Linked DNA regions of Mytilus edulis. The protein of the gene in region 1 purifies or fractionates together with the protein of each later gene. This does not show direct contact. Links are inferred from orthologs where the notes say so. Each region holds a gene or a part of one and is shown on either strand. Other genes may lie near its edges.

Region 1 (8,085 bases):
ATCTGTTATACTGAAATATTGTACATTACAAACTTAAATTTAAATCTGTTATACTGAAATATTGTACTTAAAAACTTAAATTTAGATCTGTTATACTGAAATATTGTACATTACAAACTTAAATTTAAATCTGTTATACTGAAATATTGTACATTACAAACTTAAATTTAAATCTGTTATACTGAAATATTGTACATTACAAACTTAAATTTAGATCTGTTATACTGAAATATTGTACAATACAAACTTAAATTTAAATCTGTTATACTGAAATATTGTACATTACAAACTTAAATTGAAATCTGTTATACTGAAATATTGTACATTACAAACTTAATTTTAGATCTGATATACTGAAATATTGTACATTACAAACTTAACTTTAGATCTGATATACTGAAATATTGTACATTACAAACTTAAATTTAAATCTGTTATACCGAAATATTGTACATTACAAACTTAAATTTAGATCTGTTATACTGAAATATTGTACATTACAAACTTAAATTTAAATCTGTTATACTGAAATATTGTACATTACAAACTTAAATTTAGATGCAAAATATTCAGCAAAAATATGACAGCAGAGTCCAGTGAGTATCATTTCATTCCAAAATTTAATCGTTTTTTGATGAGAAAAAATAATGAAAAAAAGCATTGAAGTTGTTAAAGATATTTGTGCCGTTTAGAACTAGTTAATACATTTAATATTAAAAATCTTACTCTGTCAGTTTAGAACACAGCAGGATATATCTTCAATTATGTAATAATGTTCTTGTATTTCAATAAATTTAAAATCAGGTTTATTTTGATACTGAAGTTTATATATATTTCTGTCTATTTTTTAATCTTGTCTACTTCAGCTTCCTGTGTGACTGTGATCAGTGTTATATACATCTTTGTTCACCATTATTATACACCAAATATTTTACCTTAGTGGCCTATCTGTACTTGGCCATGATTCATCAAAATGTGAAGAACCAGATTCATCCTGGTTAGCTTTCGGTGTGAATGAGTTACCTCCCTTTAAAAAAAGTTCATCGTTATAACTTAGTCTTTCGTCTTCATTCCGTTTTCTGGTACTTGATCTAATTGGACTGATAGATGTCTAAAAGTAAAAATACAACACAAATTATATTACTTTGTATTAAACCAGTATCAACAATAACATATATATATGAGCTTTCATTTCAATTGGAACTTTTTCATATATAATAACAACCTGTACTTATAAATGTTAAACATGAAATTAAAAAAGGTAAAGGTTGCTGCAAAACTAAACCTTTTTTTCATTCTTCTGCAGCTGCATATATAATTTATATCTTTTCTAAAAAAATAACCATCCTTAAATGATATTTTTTGTAAACAACAGAATAAAGATACATTATAGTTCAAGTCAAGATTATTATTTTAAACTCTAAATTAATCCCACATATTTTGTTTGCCAAAATCCTTTGATTACTACTCCTTACAAGTTACATAAGAACACTATATCCTAATCAAAATGTATTATCTCAAAATGTTTATGTAAACAACTGAATATAAATTCATGCATCACTAAAAATATATAATTTCAATTCCTAGAAAAATAAGTGCTAATCATCAAATTGCATATTTTTCTTACTTATCATTAAGAGTATGAAAATGAGTTTTGTCTGTTCTTAATCAGGAATTTGGTCAACTTATGTCTAAACGCCGCAAAGGGCTATATCCTGCCTTAAGTGTCTGTTGTCATGGGAGACATTTCTTTCTGTAGACTAGCATCTGAAAATGCAGCTCAGTATGCCAGTCTTGTGCAAAGGTTTCATATTCAAATTATAATCATAAACATGTTCTGGTCCTGATATTCATGTAATATTTGCAACTGGATGTTAAAAACAACATGTATGTTCATCCATCCATCAATCGTGTTATATCTTTAATACATGTATGTCACTTTGTGATAAGGGTAGTGTGTAGTTGGTGGGAGATTTTTGCTTGTCTCTGTTTTATTCACATTTAGTTTTAGTCATGCAATCATATATCTTAGCCTGTTACAGACACATGACACATGCAACTTAATGAACCATGAGTTAACCTCAAATGGTTCACATTGTATTTTGTTTTTTATGTGTTGTTGGTTCATTGCCTTATTTCCAAATATGATATCCCAAAGTATTCATTCTTTAAGTGTTTATTACCCCTTTATATTACAAGTAAATACAAATATGATACACACTCATGCATCACTTACATGTAGTTGTACAAATACATGTAATAGAATTTATAAATTGTAAAAAGGTATACTAAATAAATATATATAATAATATACTGATCTACATGTAACAGACAATACTAAAGTTATGGAAAATTACACAATAGGACAAAAACTCTGAACTTAAATCCATTGCCCTGATTTAGGTCTTTCCCTGTAAAATATATAAAACCTAAATCACTTATAACATTACATATAAATGCTCTCTAACAAATGCAAATATTGATAAATTATTTACATAATATTATTAGAAAATCTTAAGTGCTTAATCATAAACATACTTATACATGTTATATGGAGGCAGACAAAAATCTCCAATCTTATACCCACTTATCTTCTGTTTAGGAAAAATTTATTCCATCTAATTATCATTTTTCCAAATTTATTGTAGTATTCTTTAATCTTATGTTTCAGTCTGCACGGTTCCACTAGTCATATGCCCCAGACTACGAAAATTTTGTTCGGACTAGTAAGTTTTTGCAAAACTTTGTTTGGCTCAATAAGAAAAATGTCAGAATATTGGTCTTCAGACCCCAGTAGTTGAAGTTTTTGGTGCAGACTGAAATTTTCATTAATCATTTTGGTCACACTTTTTGTTCATTAGACTTTTCTTCCTTTAAATATTAAAACTGAATACAAGTACATGATTATTCCTACCTTTTTCTGTTTTTCTGAGAGATTTTTCTTTTCTGATGGATGGTAATGTGCTTTAGGAGGTGGATCTACATAGAAAGGATCTCTGTATAATAAAAAAAATATAAAAGAACGGTAAGTACACTATCATTGATTAATGCATACTTCCTATTACAATTAATAACTGGCATGACTGGACTAAAATACCCCTATTTGTACAAGGTGTTACACCCACTCTTTATGTAGTATGGTTTAACAATAAAACAAATCTAGACCTGCCAATGGTAACTAATGCCCCTATAATATACTTTGTGAGTAAGAGTTAGCTATGAAGGCGAATCAAAATGTCCAAATTGACAAGAGTTGTCGTTTTTGTAGATGGTCTTCATTACTCCTATAATCATGATAATTAGCAAAATACATGTAGAACATAACGTCACAGTTCCCAAATAATGGCAAATACACCTTATCACTATTTTTAAGTCTTTTCTGATTCAGCCCTCAAAGTAGCCTTTGAAATGTAGTTGCCAAATGGTCACCAGACATGAAAATTTAGTGGCAAATGCAAAATTTCAGTGATAAGGCAATAATTTCAGAATGCTTGCATTTTTCTCTATCTAAACAACCAGGCTTGTGAAATAAGAGTATTAACATGATTAAGTTTCTGTTCAGTGATTTTTGCGTTCTAGTGTAGAAAATAGTTTATATAAATCAACTGTACATTAACTACATGATTTATTTAATTTTATATTCGTTGTACATGTTTTAAAACAGTCTGCAAGGTTAACCGGTAGTCTGAAGCTCCAGTCTAGTAAAAATCTCACTGGACTTGTGCAGTTTCTAAGCACTATTGATTTCCCCATTGGTCGGGGACATTGTTTCAATCCATTTACCATGTTTACTGACGAAATCGAGACACTGCTCTACCATGTGCTTTAATTTCAATAAACACAATCTAAAAATGCCAATGGTTTTCTTTTAAATGGCATGCAATTGTCAAAGTTGTAACTGAGTGTGGAAATATGAAGATAGATCATTAGATAGATCTGAGCCATTTTCAGTCAACGAAAATGATCTACAATTACCTGATGCAATAAAGCGCTGACAATGTCCAGCATAATTCTAAAAGGCACTTGAAATATTGTATTCATTTGTGTTACATGTCAAGCACTCAGACGGTTTTTAAAACTCAGCTCCGATCAAGGCAAAATTTCAGAAAATTTACCATTTGACAGATTTTCAATATTCTAAAAGCTTTAATACACCTTTATATCGCTAATCCTGGCTGACCCGGGGGCTTGAACTTTTGACGTCATACACAATCACTTTTCTATTGTGGCGTCAGACATTTCGTTCATGGTGTCAAAACTTTATGGGGAGTTGGGGACCTGAGTGATATCCTGTAATGGCTGACAAATAGCGATTAGGTGTATGGCGACAAGTTATGAATTTTTGGTCGCCAATCAGCTTTTAAAAAGTCACCCAGGCGACCACTTCAGTAGACTAAATTGAGGGCTGCCATTGACCATGTTGACCCCAGGATCTGACCCACTTGTACTTTTGTTGTCATACAACAATCACTTTTCCATTGTGGCGTCAGATATTTTCTATTATTTTTATGGGAACTTTTTTGATGTCCAGTGATTATGGTGGACAATTAGCATTAAGGTGTATTGCATTCATATTACAAAGATGGTAGAATAAATTCCTTAAAAAAAAAAATGAAAAACGTGACTTGTCAGGATACTTAAATCATTAACATTTATTTTTGACATTTTGAGAATCTTTAATATTTTCTCTGAAACTAAAAGTGACACACAAGACAAGTTTCAACAAGATTATAAAATGAAATATTTTAAAAACAGTAGTGTTGTGCTTGTGATGAGAGATGCTTTTAAAAGTTATTCAATGCAAAATGGTATGCCTAAACCTTTTTGGAGTTGGCCTCGGCTGAGAAATCATGACAAGTCGATTTCTAGTTTGAACATCTCTCTACTTCGCCGCCATCTGTAAACAAAGTGAGGATTTATAAAAATTCCAAATCTTATTGTAAAACGAACAATATGTTTTTGTAATTCTTTTCGCCAGTTCTTCATAGGTGTGATTAAAATTCTAAAATAATATTGAACCTGGCTTTTCAATACAAATTAATTAAAAAATACCAAATTCAATTCCAAATATTGGTTTATGTGTTCACTTTTCGTTTTCTTAGACGACGAGCATTAAAATGGCTGCGAAAGGAAAAGGCAAAACACAGGAGCAAATAGTTGCTGGTTTTCAGGAATTAAGACAACAACAAAGAGCTGTTGCTGGCAAAATATCAGAGCTTAATGGAGATTTAAAGGAACACGAGTTAGTTCTCCATAATTATTTCTATATAACTTGTATTTTAACCACGTGTTTAGATGAAAAGGGGGAGACAACTTTTTTTTAGAACTGCATGGAGATGATGTTTACACTTGGTAGTAACTGTCATCACAAAATCTTGTGTTATCAAGTTACTGATATCAAATGAAAACTAAGTTTCTTGTCCAAAGATCTAATAAAATCGATAACTCAAATAATCACAGCTCTCCTTTCGGTCATTGTTCCCCAGGTAACAGGTCTGTTCGGAAGCAAGTTAACTCGTACCATGTTAACTCGTACCAAAAAAGTGAACTCGTACCACTGGGAAGTCGTACCACTGCAAACTCGTACCATCAAAAATATATTAAAAATTACGAATATTTTATGGTATTTTTTTGTAAACTTTATAAAAATAATGTTGAATTACTTGAATTTTATACTGGATTTTAATAGACAAAAATACGAATAAAAAAGCTTTATTTTTTAAGCCCCAGCTTTAAGCTGATCTTTCAAAGTAGTTATAATCCAGAAGAAAGTAAAAGTAAAACATTGCTTTAACTGTACCTTAAGTTGAATATCTATATCCAAATTATCCAAATTAAATCAATTTATGCTGTAATCCATGATCACAAATCGAATGCTATGTTTACGATTGTTGAAAGCCATGTGCTTTTTGGCGGGAAAATTCGGGAACAGGAAACAGTTACATTTCATTGTAACTTGTTATTTATAAATAGTAAGAATTTCATTTTTGAAATCATTTTGATTAACTGCTAGGATTTTTTCATGAAGAATTAATTTGGAAGGATTAAAAAGTAAATTCAATAATTATCAGTAAAAGTTTTGAAAAAGAGTCAAAGGCGACAGCAAAGCAAATCTGCCACGGTATTTTCTATCTAATAGACAGGGACATGATTAGCTACAAATTAGTCATTGTACTTTCAAATTATATACATTTTACAGACCTCCTGAGAGGTATTGAGTGAAAGTAAATAATATACATCATCAAAACCCATTTAAATGCATTTAAGTTGTTACGAGTTAGCAGTGGTACGAGTTTGCATTGGTACGAGATTTTTTAAAGTGGTACGAGTTGACGTTGGTACGAGTTTACAATGGTACGGGATAACTGTAATTCGTCTGTTCGCCCTAATAACATGTTTGCTCTGCGTACGTACTATACAATCACAGTGACATGCGCCAGAATATACAATCATTGTAAATAGTGAACACCTGTTGAAAACACAAGATAGTCATTAATTTATTTTAATCTTTAATTAGTATGCATAAACATGATAAATATCATTAATAAAATTAACGGTACCAATTTTCTTGCACCAGATGCGCATTTCGACAATACATGTCTCTTCAGTGATGTTCTTGGCCAAAATATTTGAAATCCAAAGCTTATATAAAAGATGAAGAGCTATAATCCAAAAGGTCCAAAAATTATAGCTAAATCTGTGAAAGAAATCAGAGCTTTGCATGAGGGAGATACATTCCTTAATTGATAATAATTTCTATCATTTTGTAACAGCAAATTTTAATAACACAAAAAATCAGTATTTTCATGCCAGTACCGAAGTACTGGCTACTGGGCTGGTGATGCCCTCGAGGACTAATAGTCCACCAGCAGAGGTGAGGCAATACACTAAATAAAATATATTGTACAAAGAGAGTTTTAAAAAAACAAATTATAAGATAAATATATTATTGTTCTAAAACACAAGGAAAAGTAATCTCATAATACAACAGGGTAAACGTAATACTGGCTGTTATACATAATAAATGGTAAAATATGTAACATATTTTGTTCAAATACTTAAAATTATGCGAGTAGACAACTAACTCGAATGATTCAGCGCCCTCTATCGGTCAGTGTCCTTTCAATGTAGCGATCGATAGTGAGTCGGAATATAATGACTGGTTTATTCGGTTTAGGAGAAAAAATTAGAAAAAAATGAAAATCAGGGTGAATGGACCCTGGGCGAACAGGTATCATGGCGAATGTGAATCAGGGGGAACAGACCCTAATTCGTTCTCCACTGGCACTGCAGAGAAGAGAGTGAAATAATGACTTGATTATTTGGGTCACCTACAAATGTACATTTAAAGTAGTTAATACTTATAAGGGACTCACTAATTAGCGACAAGCAAACCTGCCAACATTTCAAAATGCCCATCAGGGTTTTACGTGCAAGAAGGAGGTCATAGTCCTACAAAAACTTTAAAGGCCTAAGGGTGGTCTGATATCTTGGTCTGCTTATTGTTTAGTGAGAATCCAGTATCCCGCTTCTCATTGCCATAATATCGCATGTAATTTCCCATGTCCTGTCAGACTATTTCCTGTTTTTATACTTGATTATTTAACTTGCATTTATCACGCTTGAAAAAATCAGCCAATCCTGTGTCATGCTTAGACCCGAATGAGACTCACTTAAAGGGGCCTTCAAATTTATTTTAATGTTGTTAATTTGCTCCTTTATGCTTTTTAAATGCTATACCAATGGTAAAAATGATTGTTTTGTGTGAAATTGTGGAGAAATTGCTATTTCAAAATTTCCAATTCAAAGCCTCCATGGGGGAAATCCCCTGCAAATAGTGACAGTTGGCAGGTGAATATATTCTGTGATTGAAGCACATTCTTCAAGTAATATATGTATGTTTAATACAATAATACAACAAAAATTTGATTAGAATTTATTCAATAAAATATTTAAATATTTATTAATATTTTTTTTTCAGAATAGTTATAGATACATTAAAAGAAACAGAATCTAGTAGAAAATGTTTTAGGATGGTAGGAGGTGTGTTAGTAGAACATACAGTAGAAGGTGTATTACCTGCAT
Region 2 (7,813 bases), on another chromosome or scaffold:
AGTGGGCATGTAATTTCTTTTGTTGAATCAAAAGACCTGCAAGTTCAATCAATTGAAAAAAAGCAGATAAGCATTTGTAATCAATATTTTTACTAAAAATGAGATTATAGCTGGAGTGGGCACGGGTGGGCTGTCCACGTGGGCCGGTGGAAAAAGCAAAATCCACCCGAGCTGTGTATGTTTGGCCTCGTTGAAGCTAACAATGTAAATGACACACAGGGTATACACGTGGGAACAGATTCCTACCCCTCTTTTAAAGTTGTAAAAACACTGCAAATTGATGCTAAGCAGCGGTTTAATGATTTTTCGAGGGGTAATACCCTTGCAACCTCTCTATATAGATGTGTTTTGATGTTTAACAGAATTTAATCTTGCAGAGTGGGGTTCTGACAATATTAAAATTCAAAATTTTGAGAAGAGTGAGAATGCGAAATATTTGCCTTATTAAATCTATGGAAAAAATTGTAGATTAATAGGACATGATTTTTTTTCCTTCTCTAGTATAAACTGTTGTGGGACCAGCCAGAGAAATATTAAAGAATAAAAGTAGACATGGTGCCGGGGCAGATTCATTTATAAATGTCAGAACATGAATCATACACCATGTCTGCCTACTGGGGAAAGCTTTCTATTTTTCGTTACACATTGTCTGCCCCCTTGCCGTCATTAACTCAAACAGTCAAATGCTCAAAAGTATTAACATCCGTTTATGTTGCGTCCTGAGAACAATTTTTTACAACAAAAGCTGGATTGACTTTAGCAGTAAATTGATCTCATTTTACTCTTTAATAAATTATTTGTCAATTTAATAACCGGTAGAATTAGATACAGTCTGTCCATCCTGAAACGATTCTGACTGTTGGTCGTCTTGTACCTGTGCAAAGAAGTTGAGCAAAATGCGCCAACTTCGTATTTTTTTCGTCTATAGGTCCATCATGGTGTTCTTCAAAAAGATTCATCATATCGTAATTATCCGGAATTAATATCATTATATTTTGTAACCATGTGATCACATTTCGCATATTTGACAGCTAATACGCAGCACGGTTTACGGAAAAGCCATGCTTGTTTATTTAAAATCTTGGTTCTTGAAACGCTTTACTTGTCCATATTGGTCCAAGCTATCAAACATTTTGAAGATCTGTAGTTTTCTAAATGAAAAGTAGGATCCAGACAGACCGAATAATCCGGATTTTTAATAAAAAAAATTGTTTTTGTCAATAAAAAGTTTAGGGTCAGCATCAAAAACGGAGGTAGGGTCGGGAAACCGGACACACACTATTAAATTATTTTGGCCTTACTTTGATACTGTCCACTCACTGACTCAGATAAACTCTTTAACTCACCTAAAGTTATGAAGATACCAGTGGCGGATCTAGAAATTTTCATAAGTGGGGGCCCGCTGGCTGCCTAAGAGGGGGCCCGCTCCCGTCACGCTTCAGTGATTCCCTATATAATCAACCAAATTTTTTTCTCAAAAGTAGGGGCCTGTGCCCCCTGCCCCCCCCCCCCCCCTAAATCCGCCTCTGGATACCTCTTGTCCATGTCAATTAATGACAATCAAAACAATACAAACCGGTTATTTTACCTGAGGAAGCATCTCATAGTTATACCACAACTTAGTTGATTTTCACACCTTTTGCATGAAGGAAAAAAAATGCCCATCAAAATCCAAGAGATTTTATCTTTCTGAAACACAAAATGCATTTAACTTTTTTTATATCTAGTGGATGCCAGGCAAACTTTTCCAACTTCACAGGTAAGTCTGTACTCAGAGTAATTTTTGGCATGTAAATACAGCCATATTTGTTCGTTTGTTATGATGAACCTTAAACTATGTGAAGATTATCCTACCGTAGTCTAAAATCGTTCATCTTGTCAGTTCGTTAGGTATTTGTGTTTGAACTTAACACACAGGGAAACTCCGCAATGATGTCACTACGGTACTTCTGGCGTAGAAAAACAGTGCAAAATACGTTTTTTTCTGCACTTTTGAATAAAAAAACATTTTTAAAGGTAAGTTTTCATTGTTGTTTTCAATTATTGCCAAAAAATGCCAATTTTCTAATGCCCGTTTCAATCCCAACTTCCGAATATTTAAAAACATTCTAGAACTTCACAAAATCCCATTTCCGGCCTCCATTGCTTTGTGTACATTCCATTCAGCGTCATCAATCCTGTGGCAGGCAATACAGGTCAAGCAAATCGTATTTTTAGGATTTTAAAAATGACATGCTCCTTACCTCTTTCTCGATTTTCCCGCGAAAAAAGCCCAACCAAAATGAAAGGAAAACTATATGAAAAAACGATGTCAATGCCATAATTTTGAACAGGCATATAGAGTTGGTTAATAAGAAACAATTTACATTTATTTTTCATAGAATTTTCTTTTTATTCATTATCAAAAGATAGATATTCTGACCATCATGACTGTAGGTAAATATTCATACAAAATTCCCTTGATGTCAAAAGAGATGGCAAAAAAAAGAGTTTTCCTGTTGAATAAAACCCAGAACTATTGCAAACTATTTTGAAGCAATATCCCAGAAAGAAATAACGTAATTTGCCGTAGACTGAAAAATCCGCTAATTGACAGTAGAGCAATTTGATTGGATATAACGAATTGACATCACGTGATTTTGACGCTATTGAAATTTTAATGTAAACAAACAAGGTCAGAAGGTTCCGTATGGGACATCATTGTACATTTATTTACTGACAAACAATTACGAGTTATCAAGCTTGCCAATGCATGGTTATAAAAAAATAAAGCTAAGTCTACAGAAAAAATAAGAAAAAAATAGCCTTAGTATAACGACTTATCATTACACCTGGATACATAACCGAAAACAGCTCTGTCTATAATCTTAAAGTTTTGAAAAGAAAAAACATCTATTCTTAAACTATGTGACAGCAATCTAGAATAACTAAAAGAGTTCTTTAAAAACCTTTTTAAGCTCCATGTCAACGGGCATTCCTGCTTTTGCTGCCATTCTGTTATTTGATCAATGTGTAAAGAACGCATGGTTTTGTTATCAATATAAAGTGTATTACAAACGCATGACTAACTGCAATATTCGAAAGATCTCGAACCATAGAAAGTAAGTCTTACTACCCTAAACAATTCATTACAACAACGCACTGCAACGAAATGGTTAAAATAGTTCAACACTTGTAACCAAGGATTTCAGTGTATAGTAATATACAAATCCTTGTTGTAACGAATTAAAAAAAAAAACACCGTGGGATCATCCCCCAAACCACGCCATATGATCCCTTAAAAGGTTAGAATAACAGGGTATCAGGTCCGTTCGCGCCCAATATACTTTCGCACCCTACACGTTCGCACATCGCACGTTCGCACCCAAGGTCCGTTCGCACTCTACACGTTCGCGCCCAATTTTAATTCAAATACCAGTTGAATAATTGGAAAATCATGATTATTGTTTTTAATTGCTTTCGTGTAAATACTGAATGTATTTATAGCTTGGTATGAGTAAAAATTTGAATATTTTAGATCATTTTGAGTAAAAATTTGAATATTTTAGATCATTTTAAATGAAAAACACAAAAGATAATTGTTTTTAACAGCTTGGTCCCTTTGATCTGAAACAATGAAACAATAAAATATAACAATACACTATTATAACCAAAACATGATAAAATTTATTCAACACACAAAAAAAAAAAACGTAGTCAGAATCTCACTTCATTTTGAAACAAGTTAATGAAACAAAGTTATAGCAATTAATACGCTAACCAAAAAATGATTAAGAGTTATTCAACACAAAATAAAACGTTGACAGAATCCCACTTTATTTAGAAAAGAATATTTTTTATTTTTTAACCATACACTATCCAAAACATGATTAAGATTTATTCAACACCAAAAAAAAATGCTGTCTCACTTTATTTTGAGACAACGAAAACAATTATACTTATAAGAATACTACTTGCCAAAACATGATTACAAAGTTATTAAACTCAAAACCAATTAAAATTGGGCGCGAACATGTAGGGTGCGAACGGACTTTGGGTGCGAACATGTAGGGTGCGAAAGTGAAAGGGGGCGAACATGAGTGGGTGCGAACGTGAATGGGCGCGAACAGACCCGGATTCGAATAACAGATACACTTAAGATGTCACTACTAAATGTAACTGTTCTTATTGTAATAAATTATTATAGTAGATCCGTATTAGCAGGAACAGATATACCGCTGTTCCCAGATATAAGCTAAAACTTGTAGAAACTCTTTATTTATTTCAGTTGGTAAATGATCTAAAAATCATCTTTATAGTGTTTATATCATAAACTAAAGTATAAATGAAATTACCAGTGTCAATGAAAACAGCATGTCCATGCCTTTTAGTATATCGTATAAAAAGTTCCCATTTGCACATAACATTCATGAAACAATGAATGTGAATTGTTTTCTTCAATACTCCAACGTTAGACTAGTTGATGTCCATATGGTCTTTTTAAAATTAGGTAATACAGTACCAACTGGTCTACTGATTAGCTATAGATTAGTGTAGGTTACACTTTTGTGGCATATATATGCTCTGACAATAGCTATGAACCAGCTTAACGTGTCCAATATGAAGATAAGGAGATGCAGTCTGATTGCCAAATGAGACAATTATCCATCAAAATGCAAATAAAGTGAATTTAAGAAATTATAGGCAATCATACGGCCTATAGTAGCTGTTTAAAGACAAAAGTTAAAAATATTTTTTTTATTAACAAAATAGCAATTTTAATTCGGTTCAAACATCATATATTGATTAATATTGTCGAAAGACATCCAAGTAAAAAGGGCTCATTGTTGAAGGCCGTATGCCTGCCTATATGGTTTTAACCAATAAAAATTACCGTAATCTTTTCCAAAATATTCTATAGAAACCTCAATAAAAAAAATAATGGTGCTTTGAAATACCAAAAATATATGTTGATGACCCAGACATTTACTATTTACTGCAATGAAATATAGGTTGAATTACCTTCAACTGTCAAATTCAAGGGAATATGTTTTTCTACCCTTTTTCGAATGCAACCGGATGTACTATGATTTGGTGGTATTACAGCGGTATGCGATGCAAAACTTTTGCAGTCAATGAACTATCGTTCAGGGGGCGAAACTTTAATATATCCATAAAAATATGCCAATGCTGATACAAAAACATACTATAATAATATATCACTTTGCTTATCGCTATTGGTCTTCATTTAAAAAGAAAACTTACTTTATCACAAATTAAAAAAGAAAAACAAGTTGAAGCCGCTGACACCACCGCAACATGCGCAAACAGCATGCCTAACTTTTATATCTTGACAATCTATATATTTAATGTATTTTTAGTTGCATGTTGCAATTTATCGAGATCTGCATTTGATAGGTAAAAATGTGGAATGTAAGATCATAAGTTTTAAGTTGTGAACTAGAAATCGTTTTTCTTTTTCTTTACTTAAAGTAAGTTTTATTTTCCAGAGATCATCTATATGACTTCCCTGAAAAAAATAATCGTGTTTATATCTAAACACATTTCTAAGTAAACACATTAAATAAAAATTTAGTAACAATAAACAAAAGGACTATGCGATTTGGACAGGCTTTGATACTATAACTGCCCTTGAATTTTTACTAGATAAAATTTGTGTTCGCTTTAGACAAGACAAGGCAAGACAAGACAATTTATTTCAACTTAGGCACACGTATGGTGCTACAAGAGGATAACAATTGTACATTAACAATTACATAAATATGGAGATTCTGTATCTCGTCAAGTTATCGACATTGCAATGGGGACTTATTGTGCACCACTTATTGCGTACGTGTTTCTGTATTGTTATGAGTTAGAATTCATGGATTCAAATCAGCAAAGACCCTACAAAACAACATAATTTATGATACAAGAAGAAAAAGAAGAAGAAGAATTTTACAAATATAATAAACAATACAATAAACATAATTAAAAACACAAATAATATTGGCTCTCAATAATGACGACTTCAGTATACATGTATACACTAAAGATATTAATCCTATTGACTAACTTTAAATAAATCGAATACTACGGTAGTACCAATGAGCACTGCCCTTTCCTGGATCTTGATTTCTATAAATTAACATTAACGGGAATCTTATAAAACCAAAGATTATGATAAAAGAGATGAAATATCCATTTTTAGAAGATGACGTTCCGTTGTCACCATTTTATAGTGTTAATATTTCTCAATATGTTCGATTCGCTCATCACGGTATGTGACAACGTAATAGATTTTAACGAAAGCTCGACAATCCTCACATTTTTGCCTGCTTTTAAAGCTCGATAAGGTGGCACGGTAGTATTTCCTGGCCCATAAGGGATAATGATAGCCTTTTTAGAATTTTCACCACTTTCTAACACTGCAAAAAATTCTACATTCACAGTTAACTGAAGTACTTTCATTTTACTATTCAGAAATGAATTTGAAAATGTATCATGACCGTTTACTTTTTTTGCTATTTTAAAAAACCTAAGGCCACTAGTACTTTTAGGTATTTTATGGTGCAGTGAATACAAAATTAAAAAAAATTCTCAAAAATTCATTTTCATCTGTATGTAAAATTATTTCATATTTTTCTACACCTGATTCATCCCTCAGTTTGGGAAAGTATGTTCAGTTGATACTGTATTTGTCCAATCACACTGTTTAGATACATTTACCTAAGTAGGCCGGAGACTTTTTTTTGTTGTTGATTGGTTGTATTTCTTATGCATTAAGAGACACACGGAAGGAGGACAACGGAGTTGGCGTACGTGGGTTCGATTCCCACCCTAGGCTTTTTTTCAAAGTACGGCTGGTGCAAAGCGGGCAGATTAGCTTAGTGGCCCCGCGTCGACTCTGTTGCCGGGTACACAAAAGAGCAACCTAAATTCTGGAATGCAAATACTACCGTGCCACCATAAACCTCACAATACATCCTTGTTTTAAAGCTTGACAAGCCTCAATTTTCTTCCTGCGTTTCAAGCTAGGCAATCCTCACTTTTCTTCTTTTTTTGACGCTGGACAAGCCTTACATTTTTCCTGCTTTTAAAGCTCGACAAGCCTCACATTTCTTCCTGCTTTTAAAGCTCGACAAATATCACATTCTCCCATTCTTTGAAAGTTTGTATACATATTTAAGTTTAGCCGATCTTATAGATATGATTATATTTATTACTCTATCATATCGTATTTGATTATTATACCTCATAAAAATGTATCTAAGTGTTATCGACCCATGACTTAACTGATTGTCATGTTTTCATTAGTGTTTTTATAACTTCCTTTTAAAAATATATACATTCTAGTGTAGGACTAAAAGATTCATGTCGAATATGATTACATTTGTAGGTTTATGCATGGTCCTTCTTTGCCTCATTGAAAGTAGAAAGTCTGTAGCACAGGATTTCAGTACGTATATTGTTTGTTTTTTTTGTATTGTATTTGTTTTATATTTTTATTTCAAGTTTTAAACATTATCATAATATTGGATGAGAAGACTTCCATTTGAAAATTCTTGATTGACATATGAGGAAGAACACACATTTTCTCGAGGGATTCAATTCAGTAAGGTCTTGCCTTAAACATAAATGTGACAATTTTGCCCACTATTTGACACACAAACAAGTACAGTAGTACTAACATTTACTAGTGTTATGGAACTATAATATTTGTTTTTATAAGGAGAACATTTAAGTGTGCTACTATGTAATCCATTAAAATATAACTTAATATCGCTTTGTAATACGTTTTTGGGGATTTTCATCCTCGTCACAAATGAGGAGT
Region 3 (7,039 bases), about 12 Mb from region 1:
GCGTCATGGTGTTCTTTGACTGTTAATGCATGGAGTCTTTTCGATTAGGGCTGAATGAAAAGGAGTAGGTCCAGTAAGACCCCTTTTTGGCCCCAAAATATAGCAGTTTTACAAAATTATTAAAATGTAACTTTTAGTTATTTATTGGACAGAAGAATGCTTCTGCTACATAAATATGGACTGTTTTTGACAATACAATGCACATATATCGGGTAGTAACACCAGTAAGTCATGCTAAATTACTGAAACCTCCACAATTCTAGCATTTTAGTTAAATTTTAGACGGTTTCCGTGTAAAACGAAAGTGGCCGCATTCGTGTTCATCCTTAATATTGAAATGTAAGTTGTATTTGATGATAATACATAACATATATAAAGGTTGTGGATGAACACGGATGCGGCCACTTTTGTTTTTGACAAAAACCATCTGAAAAGTGACATTTTTCGGCATATTTGGAAGATTTTTCATATTTGAGCTTGAATCAGATCGTTTTTAATGACTAAATCAGTTAAAATCTTTCACATACACTAATTGAATCAAACGAAATAGACACTTAAGTGTTTAAAAAGTGGTCAAAATCTTTCGCCAGATAAACCTGAAATTTGAGGCCAATATCGGTCCTTACCAGACCTACTCCTTTAGTCTTTGAAACTATTGGCTGTGAATAATAGCTTTCGATAACTGCAAATAATATAAAATCGGTACTTTGTTTCTTGTTTTTGATAGTATTGGAGTTTGGAGAAAAATATATGCTTCGTTGACCGTTAAAAACCAATGCATTATATGTTACCGGTGCAAAAATTTATCTCGAAACTAAAAAAAAATGAAATATACATCTTGAACAAATAATAAAATTGAACCACCGATTTGTGAAAAATGTTATTTTATTATCACACGCGTGTCTTTTGCTGTAAAATATTACCTCTTGTTGTCGCTGAAGTTCTTTGTAAATATATGTATGTGTTCTCAGCAGTTTGCTCATTTCATCGACCTTGACATAGTATTCACTGGTTTTTATTTGATCAAATCTGAAAAATGTATAGAATTCCACTGTTACGATTTATTAGCTGCTTGTCTGTAAAGCTTTAAGTAAGTGTATTAACACAAGTATATTGACACCATTACTTTATATTTCGGAGACACGCAAGCCTTCATCACTTTACGTTTTGAATACATAAAAGCTACCAATATGGTGTACTGTATAGTTTGGATATACGCTAGTCTTTTGCCAGCAGGCCGATCGTTGATAAAAAGTTATCGAGTTTGTTTTGACTTTAAGGAAAGAGCATTTTACAAATCGATGCTTTTCGTGTTAAGGAATCGCTTTTTGACATGAAAATGTACAGCAAAACAAAATACACAATCTATTTTAAAATCAAACAACTTACGTTGGAATTGGAAGAATGCTGTCAGATGATGAAACCAGTTTGACGATTTTGTTCTGGATTCTTTCAGTAAATGACTTCTTATAACTCTCGCAAGTTGTTTCGTGTGCTCCAACAACACCCAACACCATTCCAGTCAGTAGATTAAACAACTTGTTTATTTCAGGAAATTCTGGGTGAAAAAAAGAAAATAATCTACGTCACTCTCAAGTGAATGTGCTAGCAAATTTAATATCTAAAATATAATTGCAAGTTATGTTTAACCGTTTCTTGTGGCTTTCTGATTTTTTCATATCAAATCATAACAAAAAACTTATCATTTAAGATCGTAGAACAATAAAGAAACAACGAACACTGCAGAACGGTGTTATGTACTCTATTGGGTTCACAGGCGTTGAAGTTCATGTCTAAGAAAGATTCTCCAAGTTTTGTAATACATGTATGTTATTTATGTCGAAATATATATTATTCGCCTATCTTCATATAGTCTTTTTTTTAACAACATAATAATATTTATTCATCTAATCTTGCTTGTTACAAATTTCACCAAGAGTCCAAGCTTCTCTTGATTTGCCCTGTTAAAGGATGTATAGTTGTCTTATGCAGAGATTTATCAATGCTAAAAATTCTTTCTAATTAACAATAACATTGGACATCTTGACTTATATGCATCTATTCTTTTATTAAATTCATTTTCAAAAATACTAAAGACATCAACAGTTTTTGTTCTCTGCTCGGATACATAGTATGACTTATAAATAGAAAAACTTAATACTGTTAGTATATAATTCAAAAATAATATTTACTTTCTGTAATTTTATATCCAAATACCAGATGTCGCAATTTAATATCAAAATCTATTTTACTTCTTTTAAAGAGTTCATAGATTTTTTGCCAAAATTTATTCAAATATCTACACCTCAGAAAATAGTGAGCATAATCTTCTTCTTGCTTACAAAAATTACACTTATCTGTCTTAGTTACTTTCCACTGCAATAACAGTTTTTTAGTTGGAACAATATAATGTAATAATTTCCATCTAAATATTTTTAATTTATTTTCAGTCATATATTCAAAAATAAATTTGTGCAATGTATTCATATTAAGAGTTTCTTGTATTGGTAGGATTCTAAGCCATCTGTTTATCCCTATTGACGACTCTAGTTTTATACTTATCAAAGAGTTATATAACATTTTATTTGTTAATGATGTAGTCTGGATTAAATTATTTTTCCATATGATTTTATTTCTCTGAATATTAACTGTAGTTTTGACAGAATTCTCTTTTTGGACAACTTGAATCCATTCTGCTGGTATAGATTTTTTTAATTTTAATCTTCATATAGTCTTACCCATATTTTGTCTGTATGCCATCAGTTTCTTCGTGATGCTGTGTATTTGTTGATCGGGGAAATCTGCAGTTTCCGAATTTAAGTTAACCTCAAGGGTTTCGCTAATTGTAGCGAATACGTCAATTCTGGAGGAAAAAAAACAATTCTTGACATCAGTTAATCTAATGAAGTTCAACTTACTTGCTGTATGCGTAAATGTGTCCTAATCTAAATATCAGTACAACACTATTAAATCTGCAAATTTACTAAAGCAAATGTTTGTTCTATCTTCGTCGGGAACACATGCTACTGGGATATTGTGACAACACCGTCTGCATTGTAGCTAGCACTCTAGACTATTCGGCCACCTAGACTGAATTAAGAGTTTAGCTTTCGGTGGCCTAGTGTTACCTATTCATTTCATTATAATCTAGAGTTGTTACACAGTACATGATATTTTATGCATTTAGATGAATTTGTTGCTTATTATTTAAAACGTGAACTATATCTTAAAGGATCGTAGTTGTAGTCACAGAAATAAGTATTTTGATATGGAACTTTAAAAAGGGATTTAGCGTTGATAGAGTGACAACGCAATTAAGTTATACATAATTGTGAAACATTTTCAATAAAATATAACTCACGTTCTGTGTGCAACAGAAGTAATTCTGTAAATATCTGGAAAAAAGACACAATCCATTCTCATTTCTTCGATTCCTTTTGAAAAGACTGCTTCTCCGAAATTTCTTGCTTGACTTTCCTTCGTAGTGAGGGAAAGATAGCCCGTATGATGGAAAGGGTAACGTCATAAACAGGACGTCTTCTTGTTGGACGTTGGAACAAAGGAAGAACGTCACAGATAAAGCGAATTTTGGTTGGTTGGTGGACAATAATATAAAATGCTGTGACTCTTTATAGCGGAATTTACGTAATTATATTTTGGAATTTTGTTGGTTTTTTTTTTCTTCTAAACATATTCAAATTTATGATTTTTTTTTTGCCATTGAATTTAATTTATAGTTGAACAACATGTTGCGTTTTCAGTATACGGATATGGATAGTAAACTGCACATTGCCAGACTTGAAACAAAGAAATAGTGATGGCAACGTTAATAAAGTAATGCAAATAGACAGGAAATAATAAAAAGTAAATTAAAAACATTGATTTACAAAATTTTAATCTGCTAACCGAGACCCTGTGGTCTGAGTTGCCATTATAGACAGTCCGGTATGACTATATAGAAGGTCCAAAAAGTTTTGGTCCGAGTTTACCATGCAAACACACATATAGTTTTACACGTTTCTCTCCCCCGTACCCTTTTTACTCTACATTCTCAACTCGTCATGGCAAGCCCAAACAAACCCAAGGTATTTTATCAATATTGAATAAGGACATATACAAACCATTGTTTTTCTATGTCTCTGGTAACAACAGTAGTTTTAATTAATGCATCGTCCTATCTGATTTGTTAGTTTTCATCATCCAGGTTCATAATCGCTTATTTTTTACATATAAATTTTGAGTGAATTATTTTCATTTGCATTTCAATTCACAGACGAGTGATGTTGTATTGTAACGTGCACGTTAGTTTTGTAAACAAAGCACTCTGCAATATAATATATCCCCTTTGAAGTTATAGGCTAGCAACTTTCAATGCCATGATGCCTGTCAGTGCCATGCTTCTGGTGAATTTTATTCTTGAAATAAATATTTTCTGTCCCAATTTTTATGGATAAACATATGATGAATTTTTGTCTTGTCATTAAATATAATGTTAAACCATAGTAGGTAAAAGTTTAATAAATCTAACTTTTTTTTGAAAATCATGGATGATTCCAGCGGGATTTGACCCCTATATCTTGAGATCTAAAGGCAGCACTCTAACCAATTGAGCCAAAGAAGATCTTCCCTAACTCAACTAGTTAGAATACCACTATATCTCCAGGTCTACAACACTCTTCCCACTTTTCTTTTTTCGGGCTGCGTACCATCCATCCATCCGACCAACTACTGTACAACCTCAAGACTTCTACTTGGAAATCCTCTGGCCAGTTCCCTAGATGCCACCTAGAATTGCCATGGTTATCCTATGACCGGCTGGTCAAACCTCATGACCAATTCTAACATCTCACTGCCAGGCCATATTCTATATACAATTTTTGTACCAGTAGCAGATGCTCCTAGCGCCTGTTGTGAAAATCCATGGATGGCACCAGTGGGATTCGACCCCTCTATCTCAGGATCTAAAGTCAGCGCTCTAACCAATTGATTGAGCCAAAGAAGGTCTTCCTTAACTAAACTAGCAGACTATCTTAATATCTCCAGGTCTACAACATAACGTAACAATGATAACATGAACCAGGGGTCTCCATGGCCTGTTTAACGATGGCGCCCCGCCATCGTTCAAATGTCTTGCGCCATTGTCAAATGACTCGCGCCATCGTTAAATTGTTTTGCGCTATCGTTCAAAACTTCATCGTTTTTTTGTAGCCCGACGCCATTTTTTTATCAATTATAATCAAATGCATGTAATTGCATTACCCTTAGGCTTTTTATGTTATAATCCAATACAGTTCTAACGCCTGAGGGATATCCGGATTAAGATCGCTAATCACTTTGTACCTGAGCTTGTACAGGTAGATCAACAAACCAGACAGGAGAATACTATCTGAGGATAGACGATCCATTTGTCGAATTAATCAACTAAGTTTCAGCAAATGATTATGATAATTTAGATTAAATAAATAAATTAATAATCCAGTTACAAAGAAAACAGTTTAACAAGTCGAACACGTGCTTTATTATGACTTACGCAATCAGCATCCCCCTTTTTAAGAAGTACAAAATAAGATGCAAAACAGTAAATATTATTTCATCGCAAATAACTCTAGTACTGCTGTAACGATAATTTAGAATTACTTTAAAAGTTTAAAAGTAAAAACTTAAATATTTCCTGTAAAGAAATATCGTATCGTAATTCCGAATTCATTTCGTATATTACAATCAAATTGATACATCTGCGTTTCCAGTTTCATTTCAGACTCGAAAGATGCATGTTGCACAGCATCAATTTGCCAGATAAAGTCATTAAAAACCTTTTCATTTGTAAACGTTTGCTTTACAAATCTCTTTAACGTTTTACATAATCGTTTTGTTGTTGCTGCAAATCAGCCATACCGGTAATGGGTTCTGAATTTGACTGTCCATGAAAAATAAGCTCCACATCATATGATTTTTAACCCCCATAACAATTACCAAAAATACAAGAATTCTACATGGGGCCCTTCATGACAGCTTTTGGTCATTCTCAACTTAAGGGGACCATGACGACTTGGCATTTGAATGGTTAAAAACGGCAATAAATGAAAATATTGATAATGTACTTCTAATTCTATAATGAAAATTCAAATAAATATAATTTAAATAAGCAATGAATTAGCATGTTCACCATTCCTTGTATGGAGGGATAAAATATTTCCGATCGCGCTACACTGTACAGCAGAGACACGGTTTGTTATGGTTAAAGTTCCTCCATCGTTCAATTTTCATCCATGGAGATCCCTGATGAACAATATATAACACAAGGTTACTATAGACACACATGTTATTGTTACATTCATAATAGTCCAAATCCTGTAATTGACCCTGTAATAAGAGATCACTTCTTTAGTTGTCTCCCTTATGAGGGACATTCTTTTTTTTTTACAATAGAGAGCTAACAGAAAGAGCAAATTTACCTGTGTGTAATGTGAGTAATCTTTTAGGTTTTCAAATCTTTTAAATACATTAATTTGTTGTTACATGTATATGTCGTGTACAAGTTGCGATTTTGTACAGGTTATAACGTGTACGAAAATATTGTACATGTTATAACTTGTATAATGCAAAAATACAAGTTATAACATGTACAAAAATACCTCGTACATGTTATAACCTGTACAAAATATTGCTTAAAAATGGTTTTAACTTGTACAAATTTGAAAACTAAAAATATGCTTCTATTATTGCAACAGATGTTATTAATCTCAATATGTGCAAATGTTTGCACCTGTCCTAAGTCAGGAATCTGATGTACAGTAGTTGTCGTTTGTTTATGTAATTTATACGGGTTTTTTGTTTCTCGTTTTTTTTTTATATAGATTAGACCGTTGGTTTGGCTGTTTAAATGGTTTTACACTAGTAATTTTGGGGCCCTTTATAACTTGTTGTTTGGTGTGAGCCAAGGCTCTGTGTTGAAGGTCGTACATTGACCTATAATGATTTACTTTTTTAAATTGTTGTTTGGATGGAGAGTTGTCTCATTGGCACTAACACCGCATCA

The links.
Region 2: the proteins of prefoldin subunit 2-like (region 1) and prefoldin subunit 1-like purify together in Homo sapiens (affinity purification with mass spectrometry; 5 studies listed by BioGRID and IntAct, counting the BioPlex papers as one, with this or other methods). This does not show direct contact. The link is inferred for Mytilus edulis from reciprocal best matches to the Homo sapiens genes PFDN2 and PFDN1.
Region 3: the proteins of prefoldin subunit 2-like (region 1) and prefoldin subunit 4-like purify together in Homo sapiens (affinity purification with mass spectrometry; 6 studies listed by BioGRID and IntAct, counting the BioPlex papers as one, with this or other methods). This does not show direct contact. The link is inferred for Mytilus edulis from reciprocal best matches to the Homo sapiens genes PFDN2 and PFDN4.

What each region holds. Positions count from the first base shown.
Region 1 is NC_092348.1:41,978,688-41,986,772, reverse strand, and holds the start of prefoldin subunit 2-like, read left to right. Parts: upstream 1-5,083; 5' UTR 5,084-5,117; coding exon 5,118-5,242; intron 5,243-7,981; coding exon 7,982-8,085. Other genes in the region: cylicin-1-like, read right to left, coding at 936-1,111, 2,915-2,996, 4,821-4,852. UniProt on the Homo sapiens protein: Binds specifically to cytosolic chaperonin (c-CPN) and transfers target proteins to it. Binds to nascent polypeptide chain and promotes folding in an environment in which there are many competing pathways for nonnative proteins.
Region 2 is NC_092352.1:51,877,504-51,885,316, reverse strand, and holds the start of prefoldin subunit 1-like, read right to left. Parts: upstream 3,065-7,813; 5' UTR 2,994-3,064; coding exon 2,949-2,993; intron 1-2,948. Other genes in the region: uncharacterized protein, read left to right, coding at 7,354-7,438. UniProt on the Homo sapiens protein: Binds specifically to cytosolic chaperonin (c-CPN) and transfers target proteins to it. Binds to nascent polypeptide chain and promotes folding in an environment in which there are many competing pathways for nonnative proteins.
Region 3 is NC_092348.1:53,645,727-53,652,765, forward strand, and holds the start of prefoldin subunit 4-like, read left to right. Parts: upstream 1-3,964; 5' UTR 3,965-4,061; coding exon 4,062-4,085; intron 4,086-7,039. Other genes in the region: uncharacterized protein, read right to left, coding at 924-1,029, 1,390-1,558, 2,739-2,863, 3,362-3,423. UniProt on the Homo sapiens protein: Binds specifically to cytosolic chaperonin (c-CPN) and transfers target proteins to it. Binds to nascent polypeptide chain and promotes folding in an environment in which there are many competing pathways for nonnative proteins.